Linked DNA regions of Daphnia pulex. The protein of the gene in region 1 purifies or fractionates together with the protein of each later gene. This does not show direct contact. Links are inferred from orthologs where the notes say so. Each region holds a gene or a part of one and is shown on either strand. Other genes may lie near its edges. The genes, in order: succinate dehydrogenase [ubiquinone] flavoprotein subunit, mitochondrial-like; succinate dehydrogenase assembly factor 2, mitochondrial-like.

Region 1 (8,187 bases):
GACACAGACGTACAGTCAATATTTGCCTTGACGTTGATTACCATAGTACACTCGCAGCTGGGGGGCCACCGAGCCTAACTGGGGAAGATTTAAGTCCCGACAATCTTTTCTCCTTCCTGCACAAGGTGGATTAATTGCGTATGTGGCAAATTGCCAATCGCTAAGAATTGCCTGGTTCCTTCAATAAGCTTAGTTTGGTCGATACGCAATTTATGTGCAGAAGAGTAAAATGAGAGAAACATTTATTTTTAGGTCGGATTGAAACCTGAACCCTTTACTATGGATTCCCCCATTCTCCGCAATTTCAATTGCAGTCTACCTGAGCTGAGACATTTGTTTCCTGGTTGTTCTAGTCACGAAGAGCTTTACAATTTAAGCATCAATCAGGTGAAATACTTTATACGCGCCCTTACAACTTATCCGCTTTCGGAAATCTTACAACGTTCATTAATGACAATCTATTTACAGACGGACCTCTTTTGGGGTACTCTTGCCCGTTTGCGCTTGCGTTGGAACCGCGACTTCCAGCAAGTTTCGGATTGCAACATGGAAACGGGCTCGTTTCGTTGGTTCCTGGGAGGCCAACTTAATGTCTCAGGTAAAGCGCTAATCAAAGAGAACAAGTCAAATGAGTCGAATGATTTTTTAAAAAGTCAATTGTTAGTCAACTGTGTCGATCGCCATAAGGAAAAGGATCCCAGCCGAGTTGCCCTCATCTGGGAAAAAGATGAACCTGGACAAGAGGAGCGGGTCACCTACGGGTTGGATATTAACACCATAACAAATTTTTAGTAAATAAAACATTCATTTTAATTGATTGCTGACAGGGAATTATACACGATGATGAATCAAGTGTCAAATGTCCTCAAGTCCCAAGGAGTGCAAAAAGGTGATAGAGTGGCAATTTATATGCCACCTTGTCCACTCGCGGTCGCCTCAATGCTCGCTTGTGCCCGTATCGGAGCCGTCCATTCCGTAGTTTTCGCTGGATTCAGTGCGGAAGCGTTGGCCAGTCGCATCAACGACGGTATCGACTCCTTAAATGTTTACTTTACTTTAAATTGTAATTGTAATTGTAATTGTAATTGTTTGTTATTAGCTGAAGCTAAAATCGTCATTACTGCTGACCAAGGGATGCGAGGAGGCAAATTAATTGAATTGAAGAAAACGGTTGTGACAGCGGTCGAAAAATGTCCGACTGTTAAAACTATTCTCGTAGCCAAAAGAACAGGAAATCCTGTCGTTTCATCACCTCTTGACGTCGATCTCGATGAGGTTGGTTTAAAATAATTAATTTTTCTATTAAGTGTAACATTAACCAACGGAAAATTTTTGTCAGGCGATGGTTAAAGAGAGCGGCGAATGTGAACCGGCCGTTTTGGACAGCGAAGATTTGCTGTTTATGCTCTACACATCCGGCAGCACGGGAAATCCTAAAGGGATAGTTCATTCCCAAGCTGGCTATCTTCTTTATGCGTCGTTGACACATAGTTTAGTTTTCGATTGCAAAGAAGGAGACATTTTTGGTTGCGTGGCTGACATTGGATGGATCACGGGCCATTCTTACGTCGTGTACGGCCCGTTGGCCAACGGAGTCACGACTCTTTTGTTCGAGAGTACGCCAACATATCCCAATCCAGGTCTCGATTTAACTATTCATTTGATCTCAAATGTTGACGTTACATAATTCTTGTTTTCCCAACAGGTCGATATTGGGAGACTGTCCAGCGACTAAAAATTAACCAATTGTATGCAGCTCCTACGGCCATTCGATTATTATTGAAATACGGTGACGAACATGTCGAAAAGTATGATCTCAGCTCCCTTCGCACTCTAGGCTCTGTGGTATGATTGTAAATTAAGTGTCTAATTAAACGTGATCACGGTTCAACGTTATTTTCTTCCCAGGGTGAACCCATCAATGTGGAGGCTTGGCACTGGTACAACAAAGTTGTGGGCAAAGAGAAATGCGTGGTTGTGGACACTTGGTGGCAAACGGAAACGGGAGGCATTTGCATCAGTCCAACACCCTCGGCTCCTGGATCAGAAATTCGTCCCGGTATGCCGATGAGACCGATGTACGGAATCTGGCCTGCTATTCTAGGAGAAAAGGTAATGTCTAATATTTATTTATTTTCCAAATTCATCCTGATTGGAAATCTGTTCTGCAAAGGGGGAGGAGTTGTTAGGCAATGATGTAACAGGTGCCTTGTGTTTGAAAAAGCCTTGGCCGGGAATGGCACGCACCATTTATGGAACCCACAGCCGCTTCCTGGAAACTTATTATCGACCTTTTAATGGCTTCTATTTTACCGGTGATGGTGCTGTTCGACACAGTGATGGCTACTATCAGATAACGGGAAGAATGGATGACGTTATCAACGTTACTGGACATCGACTCGGTACTGCCGAGGTGGAAAATGCCCTGGTATTACAACAAATATTTTAAATTAAAAGAACTCGGATGACAGTTTTTCGTTCCAACAGGGTCAACATCCGTCTGTAGCAGAGTCAGCCGTTGTGGGGTATCCTTGTAGTGACAAGGGCGAAGGCATTTACGCTTACGTCACTCTTAAGGACGGATTCGTCGCTGATGCCAAGATAGAAGCTGAATTAAGAGGAATTGTCCGGCAGAAAATTGCTGCCTATGCGATTCCGGATGTAATACAGGTATAATAATAAAATGGCAGGAAAATTTCTTAATCATAATGCTAATGTTGGTTCTCGACGTGGTACATTTCAATAGATCTGCCCTAGTTTGCCCAAGACGCGATCCGGCAAGATTATGCGACGAATATTACGTAAAGTTGCGGCGGATGAGACCGACAATCTGGGTGATATTTCAACGTTGGCTGATCCTGCTGTTGTCGAGGATCTTGTCTCTCGCCATCGAACCTTAAAATCAAATCACCTGAATAAAGCTAGGACTAGTAAATTGTAGTGTAATGATTTTGACATTTCATAACGTCAAATGGCATCGACTCTTTCGTCCGTTATACAGTTGACTAAACATCATCGCCATCGAACCCTGAAGATTCAAGGGAATTAGGTCAAATTTAGTCCTTGGAATTATTGACACCTCACGTTTAAATCACCAGCATTAACTAATTTTATGTTGACTCACTCTTTCGACATTCTTCTGTTACTTCTAAACGAAAGCGGATTTCCATAACTGAATGGTTTGAGCTTTTTTCTGACTTCGCCTTCTGCTGCCTTATAGTTGTAAAAATAATTACAAAAGTACAAATAAAAACAACTAAGCCTATGATTTCATATGGTGCTGAAATGTAAGACAATCGCAATGAAATACACTGCCATCTTTAAGAGATTGTGTCGCTTTACTTTCATGATAATCAAAGGATTGTCCCAATAACGAATATCGTGAGCGGTATTTTGCATTCACGACGTCAAGTTCTGATTGGGCTCTAGCTAGTTTACTAGCTAGCTGATAAGTGGCTAACAATATTTGTTTGTTATGCTAGTTAAAACTTAAATTCAAAATATAGGATATTGATTAAAAATCCAAGTCCAAGTACCCGAAATTTTGAGTTTCTATTTTAGGGTAATTTCATTTGACTCATTTCTCTTTACTCAAGTGAAAATATTTTGAATTTTGGGTATTTCTGTTTATCCCATGTTTGTCCTTTGGATCTTCTATTATTATCCGCTTGGAGCGCTAGCTCTACACCGTGCATGATTTTCTATTCATTTCCTTACGTAACTTTTACACGACGTTGTCCGGTCAATTTGGCTATCCAAAAAGTTAGTCAAAAACGCAGTTCTCGTCATCGAAAGAGGTTCAATTTTACCTCTCACTTAAACCATGGCTAACATTTTGAAGCTCTCACTGGAATTGGCTGGAAAGGTGTCCTCTCCTTTGGTGAGTGTCGAAAATATCAACGTCGATAAAACTTAGTTAAACTTTAAAATTTATCAAGATTAGTGTATTATTATGATATTCACCCAAGATATTGACCAAATAACTAATTGAGATGTTACCAAAATGGAATTTGTAGCTTAATGCAAGGCCAGCTGTGATTGGTAACCGTAATTTCCACTTCACCATTGATGGACGCAAGGATTCTAATGTTGGAACAAGCCAGGTTAGTTGTAAAATTTTATTGGTAGACCCATCAGATAGAGAAAAATTAACCCTTTCTATTTGCTGTTGGCTTGTAATCAGATTTCCCGAGACTATCCAGTTGTTGATCACACCTATGATGCAGGTATTTTGATTACATAACAGTTAAACAAAAATTGGTATTAATTGTTTGTTTTATAGTTGTTGTTGGTGCTGGTGGTGCTGGACTTCGTGCAGCTTTTGGCTTGGTTGAAAAAGGATTCAAAACAGCTGTGATCACAAAGCTGTTTCCCACCCGATCACACACTGTTGCTGCCCAAGGTGGAATTAATGCAGCTCTGGGAAATATGGAAAAAGATGACTGGAAGTGGCACATGTATGACACTGTTAAAGGCTCAGATTGGCTTGGAGATCAAGACGCTATCCATTACATGACCAAAGAAGCTCCTCACGCAGTTATTGAGTTGGAGAACTATGGTATGTCCCACTTATCAATAATTTCTTCTACAGCAGACAATTGATCATATTTCCCCTTCGCATATCATTAAGGTATGCCTTTTAGCCGCACCCAAGACGGCAAAATCTACCAGAGGGCTTTTGGTGGACAGTCCTACAATTATGGCAAAGGTGGACAAGCTCACAGGTATACCTAAATTATTAAAACTTCAAGGCAGAAATTAAAAATCCTTAATTATTAACTAGATGTTGCTGCGTTGCTGATCGTACTGGCCATTCTCTTCTTCACACCTTGTACGGCCAGTCTCTTCGCTACGATTGCAATTACTTCGTCGAATATTTTGCTTTGGATCTGTTGATGGAGGAAGGCGAATGCCGCGGCGTGATCGCTCTTTGTTTGGAGGACGGATCCATCCATCGTTTCAGATCCAAGAACACTGTTCTCGCTACCGGTGGATATGGTCGAACCTTCTTTTCATGTACTTCTGCTCACACTTGCACTGGTGACGGTAACGCCATGGTGTCTCGTGCTGGACTTCCTCTTCAAGATTTGGAGTTCGTTCAGTTCCATCCTACTGGTAAAGGAATTGCAAATTAGCCTATTAGATCGTTTGGACTAAATTTGACCATAACAATAGGAATTTACGGAGCTGGATGTCTCATTACCGAGGGTTGCCGTGGAGAAGGTGGTTACCTTATCAACAGCGAAGGCGAACGATTTATGGAAAGATACGCTCCAGTGGCTAAGGATTTGGCCTCACGTGACGTCGTATCTCGTGCTATGACTATTGAAATCCGTGAAGGACGGTAATATCTTTGCCAAATCAAAGAAATGTATAATTATGCTCAAACTTTGATGCTCTTGTAGCGGTTGTGGCCCCGAGAAGGATCATGTATACCTTCAACTTCATCATCTTCCTCCACAACAGTTGGCTGAACGCCTTCCTGGTATTTCTGAAACGGCCATGATTTTTGCCGGCGTTGACGTCACTCGTGAGCCGATCCCAGTGTTGCCTACCGTCCATTACAACATGGGTGGCGTTCCCACGAACTTCAAGGGCCAGGTAACATCGCTTATCATCTTGTTTGCAAATGAAACGACTCCTGAAATAATTTTATTTTCATCCCCAGGTTATTACGCACAAAGATGGAGCTGATGTTATTGTACCTGGTTTGTACGCTGCTGGAGAAGCTGCCTGCGCATCCGTGCACGGTGCTAACCGCCTGGGTGCCAATTCTTTGCTCGATTTGGTCGTTTTCGGCCGAGCATGTGCCCTAACTATTGCCGAAGAGAACAAGCCATCCGAAACTATCGGAAAATTGAGTCCGGTAATATTCGTTTATTTGATTTTCTATGATTTTGTGTTGTTCAATCATTTGTCTTGATAGAACGCTGGCGAAAGTTCCGTGGCGAATTTGGACAAGCTTCGTTTTGCCAATGGTAGTGTCACCACGGCCGAACTTCGTGGCAAGATGCAGAAAACTATGCAGAATCACGCAGCCGTCTTCCGTACTGGAGACGTTTTGGTAGAGGGATGTAAGAAGATGTCTGATCTTTGGCCATCATTGCACGACATCAAGGTGGCCGATCGCGGCCTAGTCTGGAATTCTGATTTGGTTGAGACCCTTGAGCTCCAGAACCTCATGTTGAACGGCATTCAGACCATCTACAGTGCCGAAGCCAGGAAAGAATCTCGCGGTGCCCATGCCCGCGAAGATTTCAAAGACCGTGTCGACGAGTACGACTTCAAGAAGCCGATGGAAGGTCAACAGAAGCAACCTCTAGAGCAGCACTGGCGCAAGCACACACTCTCCTGGTGTGATCAGGAGAAAGGAGATGTCACTTTGCAATACCGCCCCGTCATCGATGAAACGCTAGACGAGAAAGAGTGTGCGACGGTTCCCCCCGCATTGCGCGTGTATTAAAATACAACTAATAAATTCCTGTATCTATCGCCGTGTTCCGATTGTAGCCACTGAAAATAGACTAATACATTTTACTGAGGTGTTCTTGACAAATTTTTTCATGCAATTTTTGTAAATTTAGGTTGGGAAAATTCTGAAAGGTGAAGTAATTAGATTTTATTGTTTTGAATCATTTACATCTAAGTAACTTTTGATCCTTGAGTTTCTTTTCTCTTTTTTAGAATTCTCCGTCCGCTATCGACCTATACTACCTCACCAAGGCCACGTCAAAGTAATTTGATCTCTTGGTCTTTTCAAGTTGCCCGAGGGATGGAGTACTTAGCTGAAAAAAAGGTAAAAGACACCAGGGTTTTTTTCTTCCTTAATCAGCATTCATTAATTATGATTTCAGAACATTTTATTATTGCTCTTAACAGGTTCTTCACGGTGATTTGGCCGCCCGAATGTTTTGTTAGCTGACAATGGAGTGGCTAAAGTAGCCGATTTCGGAATGGCTCGTAAAATGTATTACGATGAAAGTTACGAAAAGGAAGAGGTGGATGGACTAATTTCTTCAGTGCACTTGATCCTGGTAGCCAAACAATGTTCTGCTCAACAGATCCGTTTAATTCCGGATATTCCAGAACAAGTGCTGGTTGCTGTAGGTTTCAACATCACCCCCAATATGTATTATGTAACCACAGGAAAACAAAGATCTGAGGTTCTTTCAACTATCGAAAATGAAAAATGCCTAAGGCTTTGAAAGAATTACCTTATATGGTTATCATAGGGGTTAAAATCGTTTCCGAGAAAGGAGAAAGCCTCCGCAGCTCCCCCTGCTTCAATGTTGTTTGTTGTCCGTTTCGAAACATCGATGCGACCTTAGTATTCGAACTGGTGTGAGTATTTAAACCATTTCGATTTTTTTTTTTGAAAAGCCTTGAAATCCTTTCGGTGATAATTGATAACCCTTATTGTGTGAGTGTCGTGAATCTAAATTTCATTTTAAAGTGAGAAAGCTTATTCTTCGTGTGTTGTAATTTGTCAAAATGTTTTATGAACCCCCTGTACGACTTTGCATTTCATCAGTCAATTCGAGATGGATAGGAGGACTACTTTTAGTACACTTGATCCTGGTAGCCAAACAATGTTCCGCCCAACAAATCCGTTTAATTCCGTATATTCCAGAGCAAGTGTTTGCTGTAGGTTCCAACATCACCTTGACTTGCATCTTTGAAGATGTAGAATTATATAAGGACAATTCGTTGTGGCAGGCGTGGCAACTGCCCGACTATGTTGCCAAACATCCGGAAGTATAAATCACCTCATAAGTTTTATTGAAAGTTATTTGCCTTTTTTAAATATTTATTTGTGTGTCTCTTATTTTTTTAATAGTTGAGCGATGCAAGCCACCGCCTTAGTCAGACGTATGTTAAGAACGGAACGCACATGATATCGACGATGACCCTCACAAACGCTGAAACCAAAGACACTGGATATTTCGGTTGTACCGTGCGTTTGTTTCGTCTGCGTGACGAGAACTATGAAGTGAAACAATACGTCTACGTTTCAAGTTTGTTATACCTTGTTCATAGCGCAATAACTGATGTAAATCAAGTTTATTGATTGTCCTTTTAGGTAATGACAATAATGTTTTCATTGACGACCAACAAGGTGGCATGAAGAACAGCACCTTTATTTTTGAACACGGAAATTCTGGCCTTGTCCCGTGCAAGTCCACTCAT
Region 2 (6,783 bases), on another chromosome or scaffold:
TTTTTTTCTTTTTTTTTTTTAAGGAAGGACAGATGGACAGAGAATATTCATTCAATAATTGTATTTAGCGGTTGTTTTGGAGACCTTTCGGCTCCTCTGTGAATGTTGAGAGAAAGAGAAAGATTATTTCTGACTCGATACCATCAGCAAGCGAAGAATGGATACGGGAGGACACACGTGCAATGAAAAGAGGAGACGAAATCCCAGTAGTTTAGCCCAGGCCGATCTATGGGCCAGAGGTTGGGACGGCGTGTTCAATGGCCGCCCCCTCAGGCTAGCCCGACAACGAAAGGCACAAAAAAGTCGAAAGAAAAAAAATGGAATTTTTGGGCATAGGTTCCCCCCTTTTCTACGTCTTTTTTGTTTTTACAATTTAGTAGTTTTAGTTTGGGCAGATTTTAACCACCCAACAACAAAAGAAAGAAACAAAGATAAACGTTTGGGGGGTCTAGAATTGTGTAGCCCCAACCGGCTTCACAATTTTGAGTTTTGAGTGAGTTGATTTGAGTGATTTGAGAGGGAGGACACGGTTATGCACTGGGTTAAAAACCGTTCGAAGGACCATGTAGAAAATGTAATAGGGATGTTCGGCGTGTCGGGCCGTTTACTTACAGTTTCCAAGTTGAATAAATTAGACACGAACAAAACCGTGTCTTTTACCTCTCGTCTATTTTAACACACTCAATATTGTACAGTAAATTGGGGGGAAATAAACAATAGGGGGTAGGGTAACAACGACTGAATTTGGGGCCACCTATCGGGGGCCCCCAAGGCAATAGTCGCGTAGGTGCGCCGGTGTTGTTGTGCGGCGTCCTGATCTCGTCGTCGTCTGTTGGAATGGAATATTCCTAACAGTCCTGATGTTATTTTCTGTGGCTACACCATCCCTCATCCATCTGAAAACAAGTTGCACTTGAGGATTGAAACAAAAAGCATATCTGCTGTTGATGCTCTCAGAGAGGGACTTGAACAACTGCAAAACTTGAGTGATCATATCCTTAAAACATTTGAGGTAATTGTAATGAAACATCTCAGTTATATTTGAGTTAATAATTTGTATTATTACAGACAGCAGTGGTGGACTATAAGTCAAATCAGATGGAAGTGTAAAGTTTTCAATGTTGTATTGATAATCAGAAATACAACCTCATTCTTCGTAATACCTTTTCTTTAATGCACGGTATTTTCTTAGCATGTAGAGTGCTACAGAAACATAAATTATTAAGTATGTATAAGTAAATATTAATAATGTATTTCCTTTCGAAGAAAACAAGAAGTGATAAGTTACCTTCTAGTTCTTTGATAACAAATTCTCCTCTTGCTATTGCTGAGTCAATTTCTTTTTGGTCTTTCAGAGCACTGTTCTTCATGAAAGCATTTTTTAGTTTATTACGAAAATATGGGTAACCACCTGGGTAATCTTTGCCAAGATGTAACATCTACACAGTTCCACAGAAATGTAAGTGAAACATCTTCATGATCATAGTAAAAGCAGTAGGTTCACAATACCGTTTTGTACAATGCACGAGACTGCTGCGACATTTTAAAAACGAATGTGGATTGGTTTTATTTCAAAAATTTTAGTTTTCTCCTTAGTCCACAGCAATGGCACACAAACAAACCAACTGCTTAAACTGGTAGTAAATAAAAAACAAAACAAAATTACAACATGCTAAACATGCAGGACGCCAAAAGGCATAAAAATACGATCAATTTACAAACTCTTGAAAAAAAACATTACATCTACGTGTGAAACGTCAAGGAAAAATCAAGGTGAACTCCTCCTTTTGTAGTACACTTCGACCCTGAGGCAGTACTGTTCTAGTACAACAAAATCTCGTCTTCGTCTGCTGTACTTTTGTTGGGTGTTACTAAAACGCGAAGCGAAACGGCGGAACGCGAAACTCCTAAAACGCGAAACAGTGGTGCGAAACGGTCCCAAAAATTTTCGGGACCGTTTCGCAGTTTAGGCGCTAGAGGTCTTACTAAAATGCGAAACCGTAGACGCGAAACAGTCGACGTCAGTAGCTCAGTGCATTGTTAAAAGCATGGTTAAAAGTTAACTACTTACTAACCTAACTAACTACCGAACTGGCTGTTGATATGTATGTTGGCAGTTGAGTTTAAATGTGTGTACACGGAACGCTCTGTCTCGGTTTGTCTCATTGACAAAAGCAGCAGCAAAAAATAAAAAAAGCAGAAAAGTTGAAATTATTCGAGAGAGAAAAAGAAAAACAAGTTCGTTTCAAAGAGACTAAGTAGTCACGAAGACGTCGTTATCGTTCGTTTTTTTTGGCTTCTTCTTCTTTTTTACTCTTTTTTTCTCGTCGACTGATGTTAAAAAAAAAGAAAAAGTATTAATATGATACTAAAATGTCTACACGGTTGGTACTATTATACACATCATCCCACAGCTTCAAACCAAAAATATAATATTTCAACAGGTGTGGGTTAATGATGATGAGCACCGGTCTCGTCATATCACGACCACCACTTCTTTTATAATTTAGCGTTATAGACGACAAAATAAATCTATTCCGATCAATTCTGATTGCGAGTCAAACACATAAAAATGTCGTCCTTGGGAATATGATTTCTTTTTCTATCAAATTAAAAAAGAAAATAATAAAATAGAAGATTTATTTTTTGGGGTTATTTTGTTTAAGAGCCTTTTTTTTCTAAACGCTCCGGAGCATTCGAATAAAAGAGCATCCATCAGCAATGGCGAGACGTTGTGCAAGAGCTACTTCGGTTTGGCCACGCTCCAAGTGCTTCGACCGGCTTCGACAAAAGACGACGGGAAATACACAGCCATATGGCCAGGGTGAGAAAGCGCAAAGCGGCATACATGCATTCATTGCCTTACTCATTATCAAAATCAATTAACGGCGAATTATCTTGTGTAGAATTGATGCCCAAATAGCTATACCGGCCAGTTTAATTTCAGAAACTATAACCTATTTATGTCTGAGTCTGTAATTATTGACTTTGTACGAAAATATGTATGAATAAACCAACAGAACTTGTTACCAAGCCCATCTTTGTTATTCAATTACTCTTTGAATCTGTTCAAACTACAATAAACGGTGGAATTCAAGATGTTCATATTATTTATTTAAATTAAATAATAGTATCATTTTTAAATTTCAAAAGTAAAATATTTCGCAAGTAGTTTCGCAATTTAGGATGCCCTTGGGCGTTCAGAAATTTAAAAACTGGATATTTTTTATATTTCAAAAATCAAAGGTTTCGCAAATGGTTTCGCACTTTAGGATGCCCTTAGGCCATTGGACCCGCGAAACGGTCCCCAATTTTTGGGACCGTTTCGCACCACTGTTTCGCGTTTTAGGAGTTTCGCGTTCCGCCGTTTCGCTTCGCGTTTTAGTAACACCCACTTTTGTTTACGACTTTTACGTAACTCAGTAAAGACGTTTTGGCTAGCTTCATAATTTATAAAGAAAAATTTTCACAATGGCTCAATCAAATATTTTTTCTCGACTTCTACATCCAATCAGACAGTTAACATTTAGGGTAGGTGTTGATTTGTTAAAGAATGGTTCATGAAACTAAATTGTTATGTAATATTTTCAATAGTGTGATAAAGTTACCGTATTGAGATTTCTGTCATCCGACACCAGCAGCGGAGATATGTATGAATTCTATAATCTTAAGATTTTTTTTCATTGATAGAATAATATAAGTTGTTAAAAATATCAGGTACCCCTCACCTCAAACTGAACCATGGATTCCACCATATGTTGAAAGGGAAAATGAGTCATCCACTTTGAAAAAGGCCAGGTATTGGTTTTCTCTTCAATTACTTATATCTGAGTTTATTGTTGTAAACAATTTTCACATCTCCACAGACTAATGTATCAATCCAGAAAACGTGGTATGTTGGAAAATGGTTTGATTCTCAGCACATTTGCCTCACGCTACTTGGATGGAATGAGTGATGATCAAATGTCTTTATATGACAGACTGATCAATTTACCCTCAAATGATTGGGATATTTACTATTGGGCAACTGGTGTAAGAGAGACACCTGAAGAGTTTAACAATGAAATCATGGATCTATTGAAGGATCATGTAAAAAATAAAGATAAGGAATCAAGATTTAAACAACCTGATTTATATTGATGATTTCCATATGGATGATTGTATTTAGAATTGATTTAATACATCTTAAATCTTATTTTTCCCACCAACTTATTCTTGTATTGCATCAACTCTCATTCTTTGATGAAACCTCCAGCAAGTATGCTTTATAAACTTTTTCTTGGGCTTGCCATAGTTTCTCCAACTTCTTAAGCTGGCCTTTGCTGACTTCTTTGCCATCCTTGTCTAAGGTTGGCATCCCTTTCTCGTCGAAAGCAGAATATTTATCCGTTTCACCTAGATCAAAGAAACACGTTAATCATTTAAGTTATAATGATTGATGGCACAAACAATTAAATCTATCTTTACTTCTGAATAGTTCAGTGGGAGGCATGCGTCGTTTTGCTTCCTTTTCGGCTTCTTTGGCTGCTAATTCAGCCTTTTTACGTTCTTTCTCAGCTTTTTTGGCTTCCTCAGCCAATCTTTTGTCTTCTTTCTCCTTAAGCAGTTCCTCACGTGGGACAAGCTTCAAAGCAGGAGGCTGATTTTCCCGATCTTCGAGTCTTACGCCCAGGTTAGGCAAAACGTCATCTCGAATTTGATCGCAAAGTTCGAGAACGCGTGTTGCACGTAATTGACGAGCCTCTTTTCTCACTTCTTCTCGGAAGTCTGCGAGCGCTTCAAGGACAGGCATTACGATTTCTTCAACATTATCGGTACCTCCACTAGACGATTCAGAGGGGAATCCAAGGGTTTGCTTGCCTTCAATCACGCCAAAGATCTGGAACAACCGCGTTACATATTCGGCAATGACCTTGATTAGAACCCGGTTGGCAGATTGCTTCAGCTGTGCCAGGTATTTATTGCAAGCCGATATCATGCTTTTAATCGCTTCCAGAGACGTTTTAGTGTCTATGTTATCGCAGAGAGCTTCCCGTACTCGATTTTTCGTTTCGACGAATCGGGTGTTGACTTCCTGCTCAGCTGTGCTCCATTTTTGAAAATATTCTGCGGCAGTATTCGATGACGGGCCATTCCTCAAAAGATCCTTGGCATTTAAGAAGAATTCCCTTAGCATTTTTTCGTAACTCGATGCTTCATCCATTGCACTGTCACTATAGTCGAGTGTTTCTTTCCATGGGTGAAGCAAGAAAAAGATGCGCAATTCGCGGCTGCTATTTCTACTCAACGCATCTTGTATGGTGATGAAATTCTTGAGGGATTTAGACATTTTACAACCCTGTAGAATAATGTCCATTATAGTTTTCTATTGGGTGGAAGAACGGAAAAAGTTTACGGAAGTTTGTATAGTACCTGGATGGTCAGATGACCAGTATGAAGGAAATAGCGAACCCATTCATCATTATCGTAGTAGGCTTCAGATTGGGCTAGTTCATTGTCGTGATGAGGGAACTTTAGGTCGACGCCTCCTGTGTGAATATCCATTGATGACCCTAGAATTGCACTTGCCATCACACTGCATTCAATATGCCACCCAGGACGTCCTGAATAGAATAAAATAAAATAAAATAATTTAATTATTAATTCATTACGTTGGTTCGACATTTTTTAGTTGAATTTTACCTTTCCCCCAAGGAGAATCCCAGGAAGGTTCACCACTCTTTGAAGTTTTCCATAGCGCAAAATCGTTAGGTGATTTTTTCTCACTTAACCGATCTTCAGAGACACTTAGATCACCTTCTCCTTCTTGCAATGCCTTTGAGTCACCGTAAGCTTCAGGTACCAATTTCGCATACTTGTGATTCTTTTGCGAATCGAACTTTGAGACATTGAAGTATACAGAGCCATTTGCTATACAATGACAAAAGAGTCATTAACCGTGACGAGATAATAGAAAAAAAGAGATAAAAACTCACCTGAATATGCAAGTCCACGTTCAATGATTCGTGAGATGTAATCCACGATCTCCGGGACATATTCGCTAACACGCGTAATAACATCGGCTGGTAGAACATTGAGAGCGGCCATATCTTTGTAAAACTCTTCTTCCCAATGTCGCGGAAGAGACGCGAAAATTGCGTTATCTGAAACATCCATGCCGTGCTTCGAGTCGAGCCAATCGCTCAAGACGTCTTTGGCTTCAGCCAACAAAAAGCTCTTTGCTTCGGATAATCCTTGACCAAGCTTGATTGTTTCGGTGAATTTTTCAATCGCGGCAGTGACTTTGGCCAACATCTTCTCCTGCATAACTTTCTTGTCGGGATCGGTGGTTACTGCCATTTGCTTAGAAAGACGATCAACAGATTCCTTGACATCTGTTTGAAGAGTTTCAAGTTCACTCATCTCAGTTGCATACTTTTCATATAAATAATTTTGCCTTGCTCTTTTAATAATTTTGTCGTCAATATCAGTGATATTCATTACATAAGTAATGTCATATCCAAAGTAGTCTCTTAAGACCCTTCTCAGGATATCAAAAGACATGTATGAACGGGCATGTCCCATGTGGGATGCATCATAGACTGTTGGTCCGCAAGAATACCAGGTGATATTTTTCCCATTCTGAGGAGTAAACACCTCCTTCTTACGAGTCAGACTATTGTAAATCTTCAGCTCCATGCTGCTGTTGTTTAAGGGGGCTTCAGACATAATAGGTGAACAAGGTACAACCAATTTCTCAATGTGTTCCAAAAATTATTATTTATCCCTTCGAAACTTCTCACT

The links.
Region 2: the proteins of succinate dehydrogenase [ubiquinone] flavoprotein subunit, mitochondrial-like (region 1) and succinate dehydrogenase assembly factor 2, mitochondrial-like purify together in Homo sapiens (co-immunoprecipitation; 3 studies listed by BioGRID and IntAct, counting the BioPlex papers as one, with this or other methods). This does not show direct contact. The link is inferred for Daphnia pulex from reciprocal best matches to the Homo sapiens genes SDHA and SDHAF2.

Annotation. Positions count from the first base shown.
Region 1 is NC_060026.1:13,762,678-13,770,864, forward strand, and holds succinate dehydrogenase [ubiquinone] flavoprotein subunit, mitochondrial-like, read left to right. Parts: upstream 1-3,620; 5' UTR 3,621-3,823; coding exon 3,824-3,880; intron 3,881-4,016; coding exon 4,017-4,103; intron 4,104-4,183; coding exon 4,184-4,226; intron 4,227-4,282; coding exon 4,283-4,558; intron 4,559-4,630; coding exon 4,631-4,724; intron 4,725-4,783; coding exon 4,784-5,115; intron 5,116-5,175; coding exon 5,176-5,344; intron 5,345-5,405; coding exon 5,406-5,601; intron 5,602-5,668; coding exon 5,669-5,866; intron 5,867-5,926; coding exon 5,927-6,463; 3' UTR 6,464-6,556; downstream 6,557-8,187. Other genes in the region: acetyl-coenzyme A synthetase 2-like, mitochondrial, read left to right, coding at 253-387, 469-598, 665-761, 828-1,027, 1,100-1,275, 1,340-1,640, 1,706-1,845, 1,909-2,112 and 3 more; vascular endothelial growth factor receptor 1-like, read left to right, coding at 7,492-7,755, 7,838-8,015, 8,081-8,187. UniProt on the Homo sapiens protein: Flavoprotein (FP) subunit of succinate dehydrogenase (SDH) that is involved in complex II of the mitochondrial electron transport chain and is responsible for transferring electrons from succinate to ubiquinone (coenzyme Q).
Region 2 is NC_060019.1:9,162,510-9,169,292, reverse strand, and holds succinate dehydrogenase assembly factor 2, mitochondrial-like, read left to right. Parts: upstream 1-3,393; 5' UTR 3,394-3,471; coding exon 3,472-3,531; intron 3,532-3,594; coding exon 3,595-3,650; intron 3,651-3,717; coding exon 3,718-3,798; intron 3,799-3,866; coding exon 3,867-4,140; 3' UTR 4,141-4,195; downstream 4,196-6,783. Other genes in the region: probable DNA-directed RNA polymerases I and III subunit RPAC2, read left to right, coding at 856-1,012, 1,069-1,110; electron transfer flavoprotein regulatory factor 1-like, read right to left, coding at 1,148-1,203, 1,289-1,439, 1,510-1,542; cysteine--tRNA ligase, cytoplasmic-like, read right to left, coding at 4,226-4,395, 4,468-5,338, 5,413-5,603, 5,683-5,910, 5,976-6,708.